Linked DNA regions of Nothobranchius furzeri. The protein of the gene in region 1 purifies or fractionates together with the protein of each later gene. This does not show direct contact. Links are inferred from orthologs where the notes say so. Each region holds a gene or a part of one and is shown on either strand. Other genes may lie near its edges. The genes, in order: eps15, ap2s1 and fcho2.

What was found.
Region 2: the proteins of eps15 (region 1) and ap2s1 purify together in Homo sapiens (affinity purification with mass spectrometry; 5 studies listed by BioGRID and IntAct, counting the BioPlex papers as one, with this or other methods). This does not show direct contact. The link is inferred for Nothobranchius furzeri from reciprocal best matches to the Homo sapiens genes EPS15 and AP2S1.
Region 3: the proteins of eps15 (region 1) and fcho2 purify together in Homo sapiens (affinity purification with mass spectrometry; 3 studies listed by BioGRID and IntAct, with this or other methods). This does not show direct contact. The link is inferred for Nothobranchius furzeri from reciprocal best matches to the Homo sapiens genes EPS15 and FCHO2.

What each region holds. Positions count from the first base shown.
Region 1 is NC_091748.1:56,886,769-56,893,782, reverse strand, and holds the start of eps15 (epidermal growth factor receptor substrate 15), read left to right. Parts: upstream 1-3,204; 5' UTR 3,205-3,219; coding exon 3,220-3,375; intron 3,376-5,630; coding exon 5,631-5,672; intron 5,673-6,096; coding exon 6,097-6,186; intron 6,187-6,492; coding exon 6,493-6,540; intron 6,541-6,630; coding exon 6,631-6,726; intron 6,727-6,877; coding exon 6,878-6,940; intron 6,941-7,014. UniProt on the Homo sapiens protein: Involved in cell growth regulation. May be involved in the regulation of mitogenic signals and control of cell proliferation. Involved in the internalization of ligand-inducible receptors of the receptor tyrosine kinase (RTK) type, in particular EGFR.
Region 2 is NC_091753.1:41,292,129-41,299,095, forward strand, and holds ap2s1 (AP-2 complex subunit sigma), read left to right. Parts: upstream 1-2,835; 5' UTR 2,836-2,985; coding exon 2,986-2,988; intron 2,989-3,403; coding exon 3,404-3,553; intron 3,554-3,983; coding exon 3,984-4,097; intron 4,098-5,296; coding exon 5,297-5,356; intron 5,357-5,544; coding exon 5,545-5,646; 3' UTR 5,647-6,117; downstream 6,118-6,967. UniProt on the Homo sapiens protein: Component of the adaptor protein complex 2 (AP-2). Adaptor protein complexes function in protein transport via transport vesicles in different membrane traffic pathways.
Region 3 is NC_091746.1:66,647,825-66,654,074, reverse strand, and holds part of fcho2 (F-BAR domain only protein 2), read left to right. Parts: intron 1-742; coding exon 743-1,270; intron 1,271-1,588; coding exon 1,589-1,704; intron 1,705-2,231; coding exon 2,232-2,361; intron 2,362-2,486; coding exon 2,487-2,570; intron 2,571-3,947; coding exon 3,948-4,007; intron 4,008-4,389; coding exon 4,390-4,501; intron 4,502-6,094; coding exon 6,095-6,250. UniProt on the Homo sapiens protein: Functions in an early step of clathrin-mediated endocytosis. Has both a membrane binding/bending activity and the ability to recruit proteins essential to the formation of functional clathrin-coated pits.

The DNA.
Region 1 (7,014 bases):
GACCCTCCTCTCCAGTACCTTGGCGTAGACCTTTCCAGGGAGGCTGAGGAGTGTGATCCCCCTATAGTTGGAACACACCCTCAGGTCACCCTTCTTAAAGATGGGGACCACCACCCCGGTCTGCCACTCCCTAGGAACTGCCCCCGATGACCACGCAATGTTGTAGAGACGCGTCAACCATGACAGCCCTACAACATCCATAGCCTTGAGATACCCAGGACGAACCTCATCCGCCCCCGGGGCTCCGCCGCTGTGTAGTTGTTTGACTACCTCAGCAACTTCTGCCCCCGAGATCGGACAGTCCATCCCCAGGCCTCCCAGCTCTGGTTCCTCCTCAGAATGCGCATTGGTGGGATTGAGGAGCTCCTCAAAGTATTCCTTCCACCGTCCGACTATAGCCTCAGTTGACGTCAGCAGCTCCCCATCCCCACTGTAAACAGTGTGAGCGAGTTGCTGCCTTCCTCTCCTGAGGCGCCGGACAGTTTGCCAGAACCTCTTTGGAGCCGATCGATAGTCTTTCTCCATGGCCTCACCAAACTCCTCCCACGCCCGAGATTTTGCCTCGGCAACTGCCACTGCTGCACCCCGCTTGGCTATCCGGTACCTGTCTGCTGCCTCCGGAGACCCACAGACCAGCCACGCCCTGTAGGCCTCCTTCTTCAGCCTGACGGCTCCCCGAACCTCTGGTGTCCACCAGCGGGTACGGGGGTTGCCACCACGACTGGCACCGGCCACCTTACGACCACAGCTAGCAACAGCCGCCTCGACAATCGCAGAGTGGAACAAGGCCCACTCGGACTCAATGTCCCCCACTGCTCTCGGGACGTGGTCAAAGCTCTGCCGGAGGTGGGAGTTGAAGACCGTCTTGACAGGTTCTTCTGCCAGGCGTTCCCAGCAGACCCTCACTATGCGTTTGGGTCTGCCAGGTCTACGCGGCATGTTCCCTTGCCATCTGATCCAACTCACCACCAGGTGGTGATCAGTTGACAGCTCCGCCCCTCTCTTCACTCGGGTGTCCAAAACATACGGTCACAGGTCAGATGATATGACTACAAAATCTATCATCGACCTGTGACCTAGGCTGCCCTGGTACCAAGTGTACCGGTGGGCATCCTTATGTTCGAACATGGTGTTCGTTATGGCCAAACTGCGGCTTGCACAGAAGTCCAATAACAAAACACCGCTCGAGTTCTGATCAGGTGGGCCGTTCCTCCCAATCACACCCCTCCAGGTCAAGCTGTCATTGCCCACGTGAGCATTGAAGTCCCCCAGCAGGACAATGGAGTCCCCTGATGGAGCACTATCTAGCACTCGTCCCAGGGACTCCAAAAAGGGTGGGTACTCTGAACTGATATTTGGCCCATACGCACAAACAACAGTCAGGACCCGTTCCCCGACCCGAAGGCGCAAGGAAGCTACCCTCTTGTCCCCCGGGGTAAACCCCAACACACAGGCAGAGAGTCTCGAGGCTAACAAAAAGCCAACCCCAGCCCTCCGCCTCTCACCCGGAGCAACTCCAGCAAAGTAGAGTGTCCAACCCCTCTCCAGGTCTCGGGTTCCAGAGCCAATGCAATGTGTCGAGGTGAGTCCGACTATATCTAGCCGGTACCGCTCAACCTCTGCCACAAGCTCCGGCTCCTTCCCCGCCAGCGAGGTGACGTTCCATGTCCCAAAAACTAGTTTCCTTGTCCGGGGATTGGACCGCCAAGGCTCCCGCCTTGGTCTGCCACCCGATTCACATTGCACCGGACCCTTCATGTTCCTCCTGCGGGTGGTGGGTCCACAGTTGGACGAGCCCATGTATCCGGTTCGGGCTGGGCCCGGCCGGGCCCCATGGGCGAAAGCCCGGCCACCAGGCGCTCGCTCACGGGCCCCAACCCCAGGCCTGGCTCCAGGGTGGGACCCCGGTAACCCTCCGGGCCGGGTACTCCGACTCTTCGTTTTCACCGCCATGAAAGATCCTTCGAACCGTTCTTTGTCTCACCCTTCACCTAAGACCAATTTGTCATGGGAGACCCTACCAGGGGCACTAAGTGCCCCAGACAACATAGCTCCTAGGATCATTAGGGCACTCAAACTCCTCCACCACAATAAGGTGACGGTTCAAGGAGGAGGTGTGCGAAATTTGTTCTCCGCAATTGACCCTGGGGGAGCGGTGAGCTGCAGACACAGCTGTGCTCAGGAACCATTTGGTGGCTTAACCCCCCAGTCCAACCCCTTAATGCTGAGTGTCAAGCAGGGAGGCATTGGGTCCCATTTTTTCAAAGTCTTTGGTATGACCCGACCAGGAATTGAACCCTGATCTCCCAGTCTCAGGGCGGTCACTCTACCACTAGGTCACTGAGCTGGTCTGCCAGGCAGCAGTATTTGTTGCCGGAGGGAGACGCGCTGCGTCACTCTCGAGATTTTGAGAAGTCAAGTGGTCACACAGGCGGAGCTGCTGAACGCTTCTTGGAAAGTCGCGTAATAGTCACAACATCACGTTGGACTTGAGAACAGAAATAAGGAAGTGACTCTATTGTTTATACATGATCAGACTTGCTGTCATGTTTTGTGAGACTCAAATTAATTAAAAATGGGTAAGTATGCTATTTATTTAAATTTGAAGTTATCAAAACTGTGGTTGGGTTTGTGCCGTAAAGCCATTCCACGTCGTAATGTCTGTTGTAAAGTACTCCACAATGTTGTAAACAGCTGCGCCGCGGCACTTGAGATAAAACTGGCACCTGTCTTCAGTGCCTAGGTGCAGCACAGCGCTTCTGGGACGCCGCGCGGCGTTCCCTGTGTACCCACTCTCATTAACTATAATGGCTTTTATTTAAAACGACGGCGCGGGTGCGGTGCGTCTGCCTTCAGTGTGCCCCAGGCTTAAGAGTCTGGTAGGAGTGACTTGCTCTTTAAATTGGAATGTCCAACCCTTTCAAGAGCAAAATAATCAACTGAATTTTTTTTAATAATGCTGCAGTTATTTTATGTTTTTATATGGTTCAAAACACCAAAAATATACACATTAATAAAAATGTTTGATCATGAAAATCTCAAAGTTTCTATCTACATCACCAGACTGCAGGAGAGACAAAATCCCACCATTCTAGAAATTCAATAATGAGGCCAAACAGTCTATGGGCCAAACAAAATCACTCCGAGGGCCACTAAGGGCCCCCGGGCCTCCTTTTGGGTGTGCCCGTATATTATGTCGATGGGCGTGCCCAGGGTTAAATGACTGGCCTGCTGTTAGTGGGTGTGATTGGACGACTCTGTATTTCGGGTCCGGTTCCAGGTTTTTCAGCGGCCTCTGTCTGTGTCTGGCAGCAGCGCAGCCTGAAAGCAGTGGGAAACAGAAACACTATGGCTGCCACTTTGTCTCTTACTCAGGTAACAGTGTCTTACAACTCAAATATAACGACAACGAACGCCGCGGGCTTCTGTCCGCGTTACTTGCGCCCAACTCAGTGGTGCTGGCCGGACTGGGCGGGCGGAAACGAGTGCTCTCCTCGACCGTCGTCGGTGTTGGGGAAGTTTTAGCCCTGCTGCGAAAAGTTTCTGTCTAATCTCTTTGGGGACTGCGTAAGGGCGTAGCTAGCCAGCTAGCCTGCCTGCTAACAGCTAGTTTATGTCCAGTGTGGGGCTGTTAGTGGGGCTTCTTTGTCAAACTTGACGTTTAGCTAACGTGACTTGGCTTTGGTTAGCAGTCTTTAAAACAACATTGCGCACCCTCTGTTAGCCGCAGGCCAGCCGGTCTTTGCTAAGAAGATGATAACCATGTGTGGCTCTCTGTTGTGGCTCTGCTGTCATATTTTAGTTGGTTAACGTTCGCTCCAAGTTTTAGTTATGTTGTGTTGCATCTTCTGCTTTCGTGTGCTTTATAAGCTACGTTGCTACTCCCATGGCTGTCTGCATGGTTACACTTGATATGGCTATAAATAGAATGAAACGTGCTTCGGTTGATGTGTTTTTATTCCTTTGACATTTTTGAAGTGGACAGACTTTATTATGTTCAATTATTTAATGTAAACGTTGAGTTAATTTTTAGTAGTGCAGCTTTAAATAATGTAAACTGTCGTTCTGAAACCAGTAAGAGGAAGTTAACTATGGCAGCCACTAGCTCGTTCTGCTGTCAGAAGTAAAAGCCTGTTGCTAGTTGGGTGAAGAACCCAAAGTTGGTGAATTGTAAGTTATTTAGCAGGTAGCGGGCAAGTTTAATTGGTATGGTCACCCGAGCCTCTGTTGCCTCTGTCAACAGAGCAGGAGCAGCGTTGTCTCTGTGTTTTCTCTTCATTGCTGCTGCTTCTTGTCTGATTAGTATCTAATCTGACCTCCATGTTTCTGCTGACACTGTTTACCATTTTATTGCTGTGACAATCAAACATGTTGAAATGTCAAAGAGAAACCAGCCTGTCCTGTTAACAAATGCAACATGATGCATCTTGTTGAATGCCAAAGTTTTGAATGAACTATGCAATAATGGTTATAGTTTTTTTTCACTTTATGGCTTTTTAAAGAGTGCAGTACAATGATGACAGTGTCACAGCCATCGATAGTTCCAGGCACACTACTGTGTTACAATTTCTGTGTGTGTGTGTGTGTGTGTGTGTGTGTGCGCGCGCGCGTCAACAGTTATCTCACTTTAAAATTGGCATTTAGTTGTCCAAAGTAGCTGACAGACAACTGCTGATGACAGGCTATGTTTTTTTTCTTATGTGCCAGAGTTGGTTACATAATTTACTCCTAAGCTGATGTTGCTGTTTTCTTCTTCATCTTCATATTGGTTTGGAGATGGAAGGAAAGCTTTTAAGACTGCTCCTCAGCACATCCACTTACCAGATAATTGCTGTCCACTCCTTTTCTCTATTTCATGGAAGCTACCATTTAGCATTTTTAGTTTAAAAACAGGGAAATGCTGATTTGTTTCCTGTTTAGCTCAGATGAGAAGAGGAAAGAAGGGATATTACATCAGAAAAGCAAATTACTCTCGAGTGTTAACATCTTGTGGCTTAGTTTGAACACAAATCACAGGCTTCCAGAAGGTATCGTCATGGTAATTCAGCTCAGAGCTTTAGTATCAGTTAGCCTTGCTTTGCAGTTTCATCACCAGAAAATAATGATTAACTTTGCTTTGTATAAAAAACACAAAGATATGTTTGTCATTTAATTTTTGCATGAATAAAGACTCACCTCTTAGAACCTGTAACAGTGAAAATCTAATTATTCAACAATCAAGAATCCCAGTAGTGGCATCACTTGTTCTTCACAAAAGTGGCATTACTTCAACGTGTCTTTGGTTTTACTGATTAATTATGATCAGTTCTGGGATAAGCTAACATTTTGTGGCATATTTTAGGCTTTATAATATTTTAAATTTAAAGGTTAAATCTACTGGTGCATGTACTCTAGTGGCTCTGTGGCTTTTTAAACTCTGTGGTTAACGTTTTCAGTTTTTGATCTTCTGACTGATTTTCTCTAGCTGCCAGATTATATTTTATTCAAATTTGTAAACTAAAAAGATTTCTTAGAGAAATACAGACATTTTAGGTTTTTGTAACTGACACTTTAAAATTTTGTTTTGGACTCTATGAAACGCATCAAATGAGGTTTGCAAAATTTACAAACATGCTTTTATTTGTTTTCAGCTTTCCAGTGGAAATCCCATCTATGACAAACATTATCGACAGGTAATGGAAACGACCACTCCTCTTCCCTTTGTTAAATTATATTATAAGCATGAATATTTATTATAGCAATTTAAATATCAGTAGTTTTTTTAACCAATGTCATTCAGTTGTGTCAAATTCAAACAGACTAACACAGAACAACCGTTTTTATCTGTTGCTTTTGTGAATTTAAAATTGAAATTAGCTGTAGAGCTTTCACTGGTGAGTTCTCTCTTCTGCCTTTTCTTTTCCAGCCTATGAATTAATAATGTTTCCCTTTGACAACCATTCAGGGAAGCTCCCTCTGGGCTTTCTAATGGAGTGCTGAGCTAATACTACAGAGATTATAATAGTTCTGGTTAAAGTGAGACACAGGCTCTTTATTCAGAACCTGTGCATCCGAGCGTCATGCACATTAAACATGCTGCTGTGGGCGTGCATGCAGGTGGATCCCACTGGCAGCGGGCGGGTAGCGGCAGCTGATGCGGCTCTGTTCTTGAAGCGGTCAGGGTTGGCTGACATGGTCTTGGGCAAGGTGAGCTAAGTTTTGTCTCAATCCCAACTTAGCGTCTCTGTCTTGGCTTCAGGGTTAACAGTAGAACTCCAAAGGCAGTCGTTTTGACTGCTTCCTGACTTATGTGTCCTTTAATTTTCATGTTAACATTGATCAAATATCAATAAAGAAATATTGTTATTTTTGTCTCTATATCCAGCCTCGCATTCCAACGGTCAGAATGCCAATCGTCATAGTGACTGCTAGTGGGAGTTCTAGTTGTGTTGGAATGCTGGCAGAACTAATGTTAGTAGTGTTTAAAATAAATGCATAATGATATCTTCGTAGATCTGGGATTTAGCTGACTCTGAAAGAAAAGGAGCGCTCAATAAACAGGTACAAACAGAGGACTTTATGTCATGGTGGGTTTATTTTTGGTGCTGGATCGACACCAGGCTTACATTATTCTTTCTAATGTCCCTTCAGCAATTCTTCGTGGCGCTGCGGTTGGTGGCTTGTGCACAGAACGGCCTGGAGGTGGCGCTTAAAAGTCTTAATGTGGCCGTTCCTCCCCCCAAATTTGTAAGTTTGTGACTGAGCCACAAATGTTCTGTAGATGGGAACTTCCTCATACACGGACACCACCTCTTTGTTTCTACTGTTCTGATTTTTTTCTTGTAGTTAAACATTTATTTCTGGTTATTACGTTTATTATACGTTTCTGTGTTTGCAGCATGACACAAATAGCCCTTTGCTAGCAGGACAAGTGGCCGCTGACGCCCCCTGGGTTGTGAAGGTGAGCAGTTTTCATTTATTAGGTACAAAGCATTTATGCTGTGTTTACTAGTGAAATCATTTGGTTTATTATTG
Region 2 (6,967 bases), on another chromosome or scaffold:
AAAATTTTGTTGTTATTTATTACCTATCTTATCCTTTTTAGGAGCTAATTCATCTTTATCACCTTACCAATTCATCCTGAGGTAGGGTGGACCATGAAGCACACGCAAAAGACCCATCCTTCAAATCCGGGGAGAAGAAGGACTTTTCACTGGTCCGTATCGGGAAGAGCCTTCACATTTAAACAGACTTTGTAGCATTGCTGTGATGTAATCAGTCTTCAAATCCAACCTTCGAAGGATGCTGCCCCTGAACTTGGACACAACCACAAACTGCTACAGATGTTTATTTTGTGCACCACCTCAAGATTATCATTGACCCCCCGCCCCCCATGGAGGCGCTCCTGTTTTCAGAGATTTTCTTTGGACTTTGTCTGCTTTCTCACTCAATTTTCAGAGGAATTTTTCTTTTTGTTTCCTTGTTGATCTTTTTAAATCTGACCCATGAATCATTCAGACATACCAAGGCTCCTAAACTAAAGCTAAACTCAAAGGATGAATCAGAGTTGTGTCAACACTGAGAATATTTTAACAACAACAAGGTGGTTCCCATGGACCTGTCAGCTGAGAACTATAGTCCTTTACAGTAGATGATCAACTAAAGGATGATGCCTCTCAACTTAGGTTTCAGTTCCGTCTTCAAAAAATGTGAATTTTAGATTCTGTTCATGTGTTATAGGCCTGATTTTTTTTATTTTATCCTCCACTTTGTCTACTGAGCACACACTCCTCAAACAGCTCTTTCCCCCACTATAACAGTATTTTAAACCTTTAAAAAGGGATAACCTGACACTCTTATTTCCATTCCTTCACAGCGGATCTCTGTTTCATGCACAGATTCAAATATTAGTCATCATCTAACATATTTGAATGTCCCATGGCTGCATCGCATAGAAAAATTTTGCTTTAAGAACCAAGAACTGTGACCTAAAAGTCTCATCCAGCAGCAGAAAGGGGGAATTTTTCCTTCCCGAGAAAATCAATCATCTCAAAGGTATTCCTAATTACTTGAGTCGTTCTCGGAGTCGTCCACTTGATAAAAGAATTACTATGAAGAGGTTTGCACTCTGATTAGTTCAGCCACTGAATGAATAATTGAATCTTCCGAGGAGGACGGTGGAGCTCTGTTTTCATATTTGAAAAATGTCTGCTGAGTAAAAGAAGACAATGGGCTTCGAGAGCTCAAACGCCAGCTTAATGTCTCTATTCTTGAAAGTCGTCACCTTTTCCACTTGTTGGTGTTTTCAGGGTCCTAGAAAATGGGCCAGTCATAGGGGTCCTCACAATCTGAGATAAAATGACCAATAATGGAGACATCATCACATTAAAATATTTCCTTATTTACGTATGAGACGCATAAAGTGTCCCACGTCTTACCTGACAGAATGAATGATTCATCCTAAATATGAGTCAGGGTTCAAGGTGTGTTGTTTGAGTGAATCCATTTGCTTCTGTCCACTGTGCTTTCATAATATTTGCATGACCTCAATCACACAAAGCAAGATTAGCCTGCAGGGTCAAAGTTCTTATTGAATAATCTGCTTCTGTTTTACGTCCCTTTATCCCAGCTTTGATCTTTTTTCATTATTATTATTATTTATTTTTCCGGGCCTTTTTTACTACCTCGTCCCTCTCCTTGAGTAATGAAATGCATCGCTGTTGAAATTATTTTCTTGCGAAACATTACCGCAGTGTTATAAATCTAAGCACGACTAAAGTCAGTCAAAGCTCACAAGCATTACAGAGGGGATAAAAACAATTTCCCTTTGTTTACACGCTTTCCCTTTTTCTTCTATTCTTTTACGTTTGCACCATTTGCAGCTGAGATATCTCTGGGTCCCAAGGGCAGGCGCATTCCTTTACACAAGAGTTGTGCAATCCCCCCCCCCCCCCCACCCCCACCCCCCCAACCTACACCTCCTCCCATCAGACTCCCTAAATGCCCAGAGCGCTCAGATCCAAGCTGTCTAAACTGTCTGTGCAGTGGCCTGTGGTGGACTGCCCAGCCAGACCCGTAAACAAATGCTAAGCCTTGATAATGCAGGAATAAAACACAAACAACTTCACAATTGTGCAGAAATGTGTGACTATATATAGATTTTTTCAGTAACCTGTAACACCTGAGACAAATTATGTATGACAAACTAATTTACAAAGGGAACATAGCCGTAGTTTTATATGATCTGTCCTTCATGTTTGTGCACTAAATCTTTCCATATAGTGCAGCATAATAGTAAAACTACAATAGCTAAGTAATTTTTCATTACCAAAATTCATATGAAATATAAAACTTTTTCAGGAATTTTTTGGCTTTTTTTTTGCCTTTTTTGACAAAAGTTTTGACTATTTATGACATTTAATCAGCTGCAATCTGTTCTTGCAATTCTTTCCATGGAAATTGCATTTCTTGCTGAAAAATATTATCATAAAAATAATGCATACATCTTAGGTTTCACAACTGAGATTGTTTTATAAAACACTTATGTTTAAATTAACTAAACGCTAACTAGTATGCTTGAATAGAATTGTGGTGGGTTGCATGAAAGCCTCTGAAATAGTTGAAATTTATTTTATTTTATTTTATTTTTTTACTAGGAACTAAATGATTGAATATCACGAACCTGTAACGCTCAAAAAATTATGTGTTAAACTGGCTTGACATATATGTTAAACTGGCTTGACATACATTAATTTGTGAAGGTTTTTCTCATGTGATCCAAAAACGCAACGAAACTCGATACGTCAATCGGGACCGCTGGTTGTTGTAGTTTCTCGTGGATTACATTGACTTGGCAGAAAAGCAGCGATGACTACGTTTCCCAGAATGCAACATAACTCGGCGTAGTTTTGCACATCCTGTTAGCTTGAGAGGATAGCGGACGAACGGGCGGAAAAAAGAGATACCGATGTTTTAATATAAAAGTGGTGCATTATTGCTCATGAACGTAATATTCTGGAGTGCCCAAGAAGCATATTAGGAAGACGAAAATGGTAAAGTTATTCAATTATTCAAGTTAATCTTTTTTTTTATTAGCCGTCAGGTTATGTTAGCGTTTAGAACTCGACAGATAAGCACTCCATTCAGTCTAGAAAACTATACTGGTGGTTAAATTGAGGGTTTAACCACAGAAAACCTCCACTTTAGCCTATGTAGATAGCATGGTGAAATTCAAGAATGTCGAAGTGTACGCATTATGTTAAAAGCTAGGTGTGGTTTAATAGTGCTACCTTTTACACCAGCCAAGCTAACGGTCAGTAATAGCTTCAGTTACTTTCACATCTCAGTAAGCTGGAGTTCCATAGCTGCCAATCTATGGTACATATTATTCCAGTGTGTTAATCATTTGTGTGGGTGGGTTTTGTTGCAGATTATTTTGTTTGATCTAATCCGTTTTCTATCCCAAAGATCCGCTTTATCCTCATCCAGAACCGAGCAGGGAAGACACGATTGGCTAAATGGTACATGCAGTTCGATGATGACGAAAAGCAGAAACTGATCGAAGAAGTGCATGCTGTGGTTACAGTCAGGGATGCCAAGCACACCAACTTTGTGGAGGTATGGGATTGTATAAATGCTTTAATGTGTGGCTGTTTTTGCAGACTGCATAGACATTAAAAAGTTAAGATTTCTAATTTTAAGTATAGCTCAATACTCTTGAAAGAGAGGCTGAAATGCAATTGGATTGTAATGTTTCATATATGGATGTTGATCAATATCTGCAGGAAAATAACATTCAAAAGAACATATTTTCTATTTATTGAACTTGGTCTGTATGTGAAGATAACGCCTTAAATACACCCTTGGGTGACTTATCATTTTTAACAAATACAGTATAATAGAAGAGGTTCCCACCTGTTTATTTTTTGCTTGTAGTAGACTTAAATATAATTATTGGTATACAAAGCCTTGAGTCTCTCAGCTCTGCTGAAACTTCTGTTACACAAATCTAAATTTCTAATTGGATTTCACCATTTTGTCCTCACAGTTCAGGAACTTCAAGATCATTTACCGACGTTATGCAGGCCTGTACTTCTGTATTTGTGTGGATGTGACTGATAACAACCTGGCATACCTCGAGGCGATCCACAACTTTGTTGAGGTAAACAATGAACACACACAAACATCCATCCATCATTTATTTATGAAGCACATTTAAAAACACAGCATTTCAGCTGTCCAGAGTGCTGTACAGGAGGTCCAAAGGCCAAAAAACAGTGGTGGGCTACTCTACAAAATAGATGAGAGAGGAGGGAAAGTATAACAAGTTGGAAGTAAAAAGAGCCCAAACTGTACAAATTGTAGAAAAAGAAAACAAGAACCTAGCAGTAGCTAATACACTTAAAATGAAATCAGTGGACATATGAACAAAACAATAACCTTATTTCGAGATAAAACACACACATGACCTGTGCTTGTCATGGTCTGGTGGGGTTTAGGAGTGTTTCTTTGTGGCTGTGATTTGTTACCTTGCAGTTCTTGAATGCCAAACTGGCTGCATTTTTGTGTGGATTAAAAACTAACATATAGTGGTTAAAAATGATCGTCATTCAGTTATGAAGGCATGGAAAGCATTCATAATAAATGTGTGATTTGGCAATTAAATGTTCACCTTATATAACATCTGTCTGGTGCAGAATGTGTCAGGAGAAAATAATTGAATTTATTTAAAATTATTTAACCTCTATTTCAGCACCGGTTTGAAACACTTAAGCATCAAATACAATTAAAGTTTTTATTTTTATATTTTGATGATTGAATGTTTTGGCTTCGAGTCTGAAACAGAAATGAGGTAAAATTTCACTATTCTGTTTTAGCAGCAGTGTTTTCAGTCTGATCTTTGTGCTTTTACAATAATAATTTTGCACAAGTGAAGCTGACGGTATCCACCTAAACTACTTTTGAAGCCTTTCTCTGAAATGGACCACCTCAGGGATTATTGAGCGGTTTATTTTTTGTTTTTGCATAGAACTGTTAAAAAACTAGGACAAAATGGTTAAATTTGTTGTTATGCTGCAGCCTTTCTGCCATTTCTCACACAATGGAAAGCAAATGGGCAGCTGTGGAAGCCAGAATAAAGTAGAAGAAAATCAATAGTAGACAATAGCTGTCCTTGTTACCGTTAGCCAACAGCTAAACCAAATCCTGAACAACAGGTTTAAAATGTTGTTTTATTTAAAGTGAATTTGGTATTTTCTGTTCTGCAGTCGCATTTCACTCGTAGGAATTGTCGGTAATTGTCGTACACACTTTGGTTGTGTAGCTTAAAATGTACATTTTTCTGTTTCTCTTTGCTGGAAGGTGCTGAATGAATATTTTCACAATGTGTGCGAACTGGATCTTGTGTTCAACTTCTACAAGGTGAGAACACACAGAGGGATTATTTTTCAGATTTGACACAATCTCTGATAGAAAGACATTACATGTATTTTTAATTGTATTATTTTGATGACAAAGAGGGGGAGTTGGGTCATGTTCGCATGCAGTTGATGGTATTTGTGCTCAGATCAGTATTTGTCCTCTCATCTGTTTTGTGCGTCTGTCTCAAGGTGTACACGGTGGTGGACGAGATGTTCCTGGCAGGAGAGATCAGGGAGACCAGTCAGACCAAGGTTCTCAAGCAGCTCCTCATGCTCCAGTCTCTTGAGTGAAAATGTGTCCTTCCTGTGCTTTTTATCTTCTGCCCAACCCGACCTTCACCATGTCCCTATCACTCTGGAAGAACCACACCATTCTCCATGCCCCTGCAGAGCCAGCTCTCATCTTCAAGACAAGGAGGGAGGGGGTTGTTTTGAATAAAAATACACAATATTGTTTACGTATGGATATGAGTTCAGCTGTTTGCCATAGCAGCCCATATGTTGCATTATTCTGATAAACTGCTATAGATGTCATCAACAAGCCTACAGTCTCAGTAGATTTTAACATTTCAAATAGTCCTGCCAATGTTATGAGCTTTGTAACTAACTGCAGAAAAGAGTTGTTTCATGTTTGCATTTATCCATGTTCACTGTGGAAATCAGTGTGAGACTGCTCTCTGTCCCAGTAACCTAAACATTTACTCAATGGCACTACTGTAACTAACAAGCACCATAAAAATAAACTGCAGATAGACCCGAGAACCCCCAACAGCTCCGTAGTTGTTTCTAGACGTCCAGTGTTGTGGGTTATCTCTGCTGAGTCCCAGCCCACCAGCGGACTACAAGTAGGAAGCTCTTCAGAGCCGTTGACCCAGCAGAGAAAGTTCATCCCAGAATGGAGCGTACTCGGGATGAGGAGCGTTTCAGTGGGGTGTTATGGTGACCGGTGACGAGAGAGAAAGTTATGTTGGATTTGTTCAGCTTTGCTTCCAATTACATCAAATGGTGCTTGTTCCCTCTTAAAACACTTAAATACAAAGAAAACCTGGACAGAGTCAGTTTTACATGAAGTGGAACTTTTGCTTTGCGTTGTGTTTGTATACACACACACACACACACACAAATATTTAGCATCTTATGTCCAGTACTGTGTAAAAAAAAAAAAAACAGCTCCTAATCATCTTGAGATTCATACATTCCTTTGATGTTTATTTGCCTAAAACCATAACATGGATGTATGGTGGATGGAAATCTGCTTTATTCATACAGGGGTTAAATGTTTTATCAACATCCCATGATCTAATTTTAACCATATCCAGTCAGATAATCTGAAACTACTTATTTCTTATGAAATAGTAATGACCTATATCCTGTTTCCCTTGTGAGTTAGCTGGTGGAACATGTGTTACAGTCTATTCAACACCTATTTGTCCAGTTTTGTGTAAATAAACAGATTAAGTGATTCTGCTGTCTGTTACTCCTTTTTTCTCTCCAGGATCTTAACGCCATCTAGTGGTGAAAACAATTTAGTCCTAAATCAAGTGAAATGGTTATGAGGTCATTGTGCCAGCCTGCTGGAATCAGTGGATCCATCAACACATCCACTCCAGCC
Region 3 (6,250 bases), on another chromosome or scaffold:
TTGATTTCTGCCTCATCCTGTTGTTCTAATCCATCATTAAAGTGACAATGTTTAGTTTTTACCATTAATCTCTGGAAACATACGAATTTTGTTGAAAATGAATTCAATTATTCCCATTTGTTGAAAAATATTGGCGGTTTCGTAACATATAACCGTAAAAATCAGGTCTAAAACACATGGGAGCGGGTTAGTCTCTGGGTGATGCCATGTTAGACGCCATGTTTCCTTCTACAGGAGCCTGTGAGGACAAAATGCATTTACTGATTAGATAACGGTTACATAACTTTGACCATTCATAAATGTTGTTTGACACATTTACATCTTCACTCGTTGCCAGTGATGAAAGGGAGTCTGATATGCTTGACATTTGGCTAGAGGTTGAGCTCCCAGGGATTTTTGACCCTAATTGCCATCCGTTGGTAAGGTCTTGCTCCAACACAAAAATACTGCTTGCTTGCAGTGATTTATGTATGTACTGCCCCGTCACCAGATAAAATACACATCGTCACTTTAAAGAAATCATAAGCTTCTTTTATGATATCCTAATAATAATATTACATTGGTCAAAAAATATGAATTAAAAATAATGTTTTCTCCAAAATCATAAATGTTTGAAGCAGTTTTGATTTTGAGATATAAAAACATAATTATTTTCTGGAATTGCAGGTTTCTTGCTAAACCTCTATCCTGTTGTGTATGTCTTTATTCTTACCGTCTCTGTTAATCACAATGCCTCCTTCAGTCGACTCAGCGCCACAGAGCAGCTGCTGTGCTCCTTTGGCAGAACGCCAGCAATCGAGAGATATCTCTTTCTCCTCGTCCACATCCTCTCCGTGGGATTCACCTGAAAACCCACTCCAACCTCTCAAGCCTGCCATGGCGAGAGCCCAGAGCGCCCCCATCACCCAGCCTACCGAGCCAGTTGACCCCGTCCAAAGCATGGCTGCTGCCGGCCCTCCGAAGAGCGAGGAGGGCGTCTCCTGGTCACAGAGCCAGTGGATTGCTTTTGGTGATAACTTTGCCCCGCCTTGCCGTCGTGGCTCGGGTTCATCCGTGTTGGAGCTCCAGAGGGTTCAGGCAGGCATCAGCAGGTCAAGCCGCTTCCTGTCAGAAGACTCTGCAGACGTCTACAGCAGAGCGACGAGGTGCAGCGAGGACAGCAGCCTCAGTTTCACCGATGTCTTCGCTGATAAGGCTGCAGCTCCATCCAACAAAATGTTCACTGGTAACAATGATCCTGGCTCTCAAGACGCGTGTTATGCTCGAGGGTGTGAGTTCTGTTTACTTGCGTTTGTATGCTTTAATGCTTGAGGTTTTTAATTGTATGATTATTGCTTTCATATAGTTTTATTTTACTAATGCTTGTCTATTTTATTTGTCTTTTTGTTTATATTTCTTTGCGTGGCTTTAAGAGTATCATTTGGAACGTGCTTTACTTTTGCCTCTGTTTTTCTGTTGATGTGTTGAAATGATGCATGACAATTCTGCGTCCAACTGAACAATTCATAAAATACGCTTTTTTATAACTAATTTCCATGGTATTTCACTATTGGTAACCAGCAGGGCCCAACTGTGTTTCTCTGTCTAGTGCCATTATCGAACAGACCCACGACCCCCCTGGCAGCTGGAGCCCTTGTTCCTCCACCACGACCCTCCTCCAGGCCCAAAGTTCCCACCGGAAAACTCACAGGGATCAATGAAATTGTGAGTGAAGTGAAAATGGCTGTTGTTTCAACTTCTGGGAATCAGCAGCAGACGTCTCAGATAGTAGAAGCTAAATATTAGCATTAGCAACTCTACCACACGGCAGAAGCTCCTCCAGGCTTGTGTCTGGAAGAAGACGCTAATACATCCTTAAAGGACTTAAGTACTTCTATCTGCTCTTAAAGAGCCCAAGTCAGAAGTTGATGCCAAAGCTGTTTAAAATGAGCCGTCGTCATCTTTATTTTGCTCTGACACAGTAAAATCCCGCCCACCAAAGTGATAGAGGGCTATGATTGGCCAGCCACAAAACTGGCTGGGCCTGCTGAGGCTCTAATGGAGCGTGGCTAGACCGACCTGCAGAGCAAAATCATTCTGCTCTGCAGGTCGGTCTAGATTTCTAGGCTACTTTAAAAGTACAATAAATAAGAATTTCACACTGAAATAACACAAAACACAGTCATGCCTGATCTTAACATTGAACTGATGTCTATTTGAATACACACTAATATTTTTATTCCCGGACTCAGGTACGACCATTCAGCCCACAGAAAGCAACTAACGCCAGCCCTCCTCCAACTGCACCACTCGCCCGGGCTGAGAGTTCCTCCTCTTTGTCTTCAAATGCGTCACTCAGCGCCGGCAACACTCCCACCGTTGGTAGGAGCTCTTCCTGGTTGTAAAACCCCTTTTTCATAAATAAGTGTATCCTATTTTTCCCTCAATCCCCACATACCTCTGTTTCTGCACCTACTTCCTTCTTTCCTTCACTCCTCTCTACGCAGGACCTGAACACACTTTTGCTTCCCACTTTTGCTTCCTAGAGCCAGAGCTCTTCACCTTCCAACCTCCTTTCCTTCTAGGCCCGAGTGAGTCTCACACTTTGAACATGTTTCTTTGAGAGACTCCTTCCACTTCCACAGTGATTCCTTAATCTTTATGAATGCGTTTTAAGGTTTATCGAGTTTTTGTCACTTGTTCTCAGTACACTATTAATACAAAACTGTCTGTGAAAAACAAACTATTAAAGAAATAGAAAACAATCCAACCAAGACTTGTAGATCAAGCATGTCCAAAGTGGGGTCAGGGGGCCGATTGTGGGCCATGAAGTGATTTTGTGCGGCCTACACAAGCATTTCTAGAATCATGAAATGTCTTTCTTCAATGGGTTATTGGTGTCGATAAATACTTTTTATCTTAAGATTTATACTAATATGACTACTTTGGATCAAATTTGAGCATTGCAAAACAAAAGATAAATAAATCACTATATAATAATTTTTGCGTTTCTTGAATGAAAAGTTTGAGCATCCCTGTTCTAGATCAGGGGTGCCCAAAGGTGGGACCCACTTATCTCCAGAAGTAGAGTGATTTAAATTTTGAAAACTGATGATTTTTAAAGCACGTAAAGTCCAATAAAGAAAGAAGACGTGATGCTTCAAAACATTTCAGCTCAAAACAAGAATGTCTGCCTTCTTTAATAAAAAAAACAACCAACAATAAGCCACTCTATAATATATTTTTATAAATCCGTTGTTCATCTGTCTGTGATTGTAGGCCCTGTCCACACGTAGCCGGGGATCTGCCAAAACGTAGATATTTTTCTACGTTTTGGCCTGTCATCCACATGAAAGCAGAGTTTTTTCACACGAAAACAGATCTTTTTAAAAACTCCGGCCAAAGTGAAGATCTGCGTTTTCTCCGTTTTGGGTGTCTGCGTGTGGACAGACAGAACCGGAGTTTTAAGGTCCACAACGTCATTTTCCGCGACAAAAAAAATGCTGACATCACGTGTGCGACCTGTGTTTACACTAGCCGACAGCATGGATGCCATCAGAGCTGCGCTCGCTTTATCAATTGTCCAAGCGCTTTCTGCTTGTTTGTTTTTGCAAGTGGAATTACTGCTCCTTGCGGAAGACCACAGACGAAGGACGAGGTTAAGAACGGGGGAAGTACTGCCGCCTACAGGTCTGGCATGTCCTTAACAACATATTTATCCGGGTACGTGTGGACAGAGTTTTTTTTTTTAAACGCAGTGGTGTGGATGCAAGTTTTTGGAGGGGCGGATATTCGTTTTTAAAAAAACCCGGCTACGTGTGGACTAGGCCGTAGTCTCTTTGGGGCTCACTTGTCGTCACACGCTTAAAACCGGTTTCCAGTGCTGCCCAGCATCATCTCTCCTCTCACTGTGCTCTCTGGGTTTGTGTCTTCCTCTTTCCTGGTTGTGCCTTTAATGTGGTGTAAAGAGGATGACGTGTTCATAGCGAAGCTGCCCACCTTTGAGAAGCTGTGTGAAACACCAGCAGGTATGAAGTTCACCCTAAAGGAGCCAAATGAAGAAAACCAACAGCAGTAACGGAGACGTTACTTTGCAGCTTCCTGTTGTGTCTGCTCTTCTGCATATGCTGCCTGTTTCTCTGCTTCTACTCCTAACATGAATGATTTGTTTATTTATGCTTTTAGTGTTGGTATAAAGGTTGCTCTAAATGTCAAAATTTGGTTTAATTTGATTAAAACTTCTGTTTTAAATAACAATGTGCTTGTTTGCAGTGTTAAAAATGCTGACCTGATGAAATGCAATAATGATTAAACCCAGTCTCTGAATAGTTTAAACTCTCTCTGGTTTTGCTCATTTTGAACTGCAGCCGAGTCCACAGACCCTTCACGTTGTGCCTTTTTCTTTCTCAGGAACGTCTCGCGGTCCCAGTCCTGTGACCTTGGCATCCCAGGATGCTTTGCCCATTGCCGTTGCCTTCACAGAGTCGGTTAATGCATACTTCAAAGGAGCCGATCCCACAAAGTGAGTCTCACATGACCTCCTGCTGCTCAAATACCTCAACACGGACTTGCACGTTGTCTTTATAGCTGAACCACATTATCTGAGTTCTGCAGTTCAAAGTTGAATACCGCTCGTTTTCTAGCCCGTTGCGCCCTACAGCTGTCATCTTCCTCTCTCTGCTCAAATGTGGAATGTTTTGCTGGAGTATGACACCATTCTTTCAGGATAGATAACCCACACGAGGCAGATTATAGTCCGAGGCAGAGAAAAACACAGTCTTTTATTGGTTAACTGCTGTTAAATTGCTGCTGCGCAAAGGCTTATTTTTCCAAGGGATTAGCAAATGGAACATTTCATAAGCAATGCAGCAGAGACACGGCGCAAAGTTGAGACCCACTGTGGTCCTCCACCACCACCACAGACGAGAGCAGGCCCACTACTGATGACGGACTACTTTCAGCCACCAAATTACTTAGAAACTGGATCTACGTTGCACAACTAAAGCAGAATATTACAAGCTAGACTCTAAGGTTAACTTAAAGACTAGGATACAGCTGAAGTTGGGAGTTTTCTGTGTTAAACTAGATATAGTGTGTTTGTTATAGAGAATTGTTGTGTTGGGATCTATAGAAGCAGTAAAAAGTGGGGCTGGGCAATAAATAAAAAAAATGAATGTTTATTGAAATTTCTGGCTCTTACCGATATCGTTTTTCCCATGTCAGTAAATTCAGTAATAAAAAAAATGAAAATATGTGTGCAGGTTGGCGACATTCATGTCCCTTTATGAAGCTGTACCACCTCTAGTCACGGAAAAACATCACTCAACATAATACACGTGACAGCTCCATCTTTTGTTTCTGCACATACGTGTAGTTATCGTCCAGTTATCGATATCGAGGTGAAGTCCTCAATATATTGTGATATTGGTTTTAAGCCAACACACAGGCAGAGAGTCTTGGGCCTAACAAAAAGCCAACCCCAGCCCTCCGCCTCTCACCCGGAGCAACTCCAGCAAAGTAGAGTGTCCAACCCCTCTCAAGGACTCGGGTTCCAGAGCCAATGCTATGTGTCGAGGTGAGTCCGACTATATCTAGCCGGTACTGCTCAACCTCTGCCACAAGCTCCTGCTCCTTCCCCGCCAGCGACGTTCCATGTCCCAAAAGCCAGTTTTCTTGTCCGGGGATCGGGCCGCCAAGGCTCCCGCTTCGGTCTGCCACCCGATCCACATTGCACCGGACCCTTCATGTTCCTCCTGCGGGTGGTGGGTCCACAGTTGGATGAGCCCATGTATCCGGTTCGGGCTGGGCCCAGCCGGGCCCCATGGGTCAAAGCCCGGCCACCAGGCGCTCGCTCACGGGCCCCAACCCCAGGCCTGGCTCCAGGGTGGGACCCCTGTAACCATCCGGGCCGGGTACTCTGACTCTTTGACTTTACCTCCATGACAGATCTTGTGAACCGTTCTTTACATCACACCTAAAGCAGTGATTGTAAGAAATTTTACATCACATGTTGTCTTTTGCTTCTTCAGTTTTTTCATCACGTTTTTTGTTATTAACCTGCAGCTTTATGGCAGATAATAAAAATAAATGAACTCTGATCCGACGCACTCCACAGGTGCATTGTGAAGATCACAGGAGACATGACGTTGTCGTTCCCTATGGGCATCATCAAGGTGTTCACCACCAACCCATCTCCAGCCACCCTGACCTTCAAACTGAAGAACACCAGCAGGCTGGAGCAGATCTTACCCAACCAGCAGCTTTTATTCAG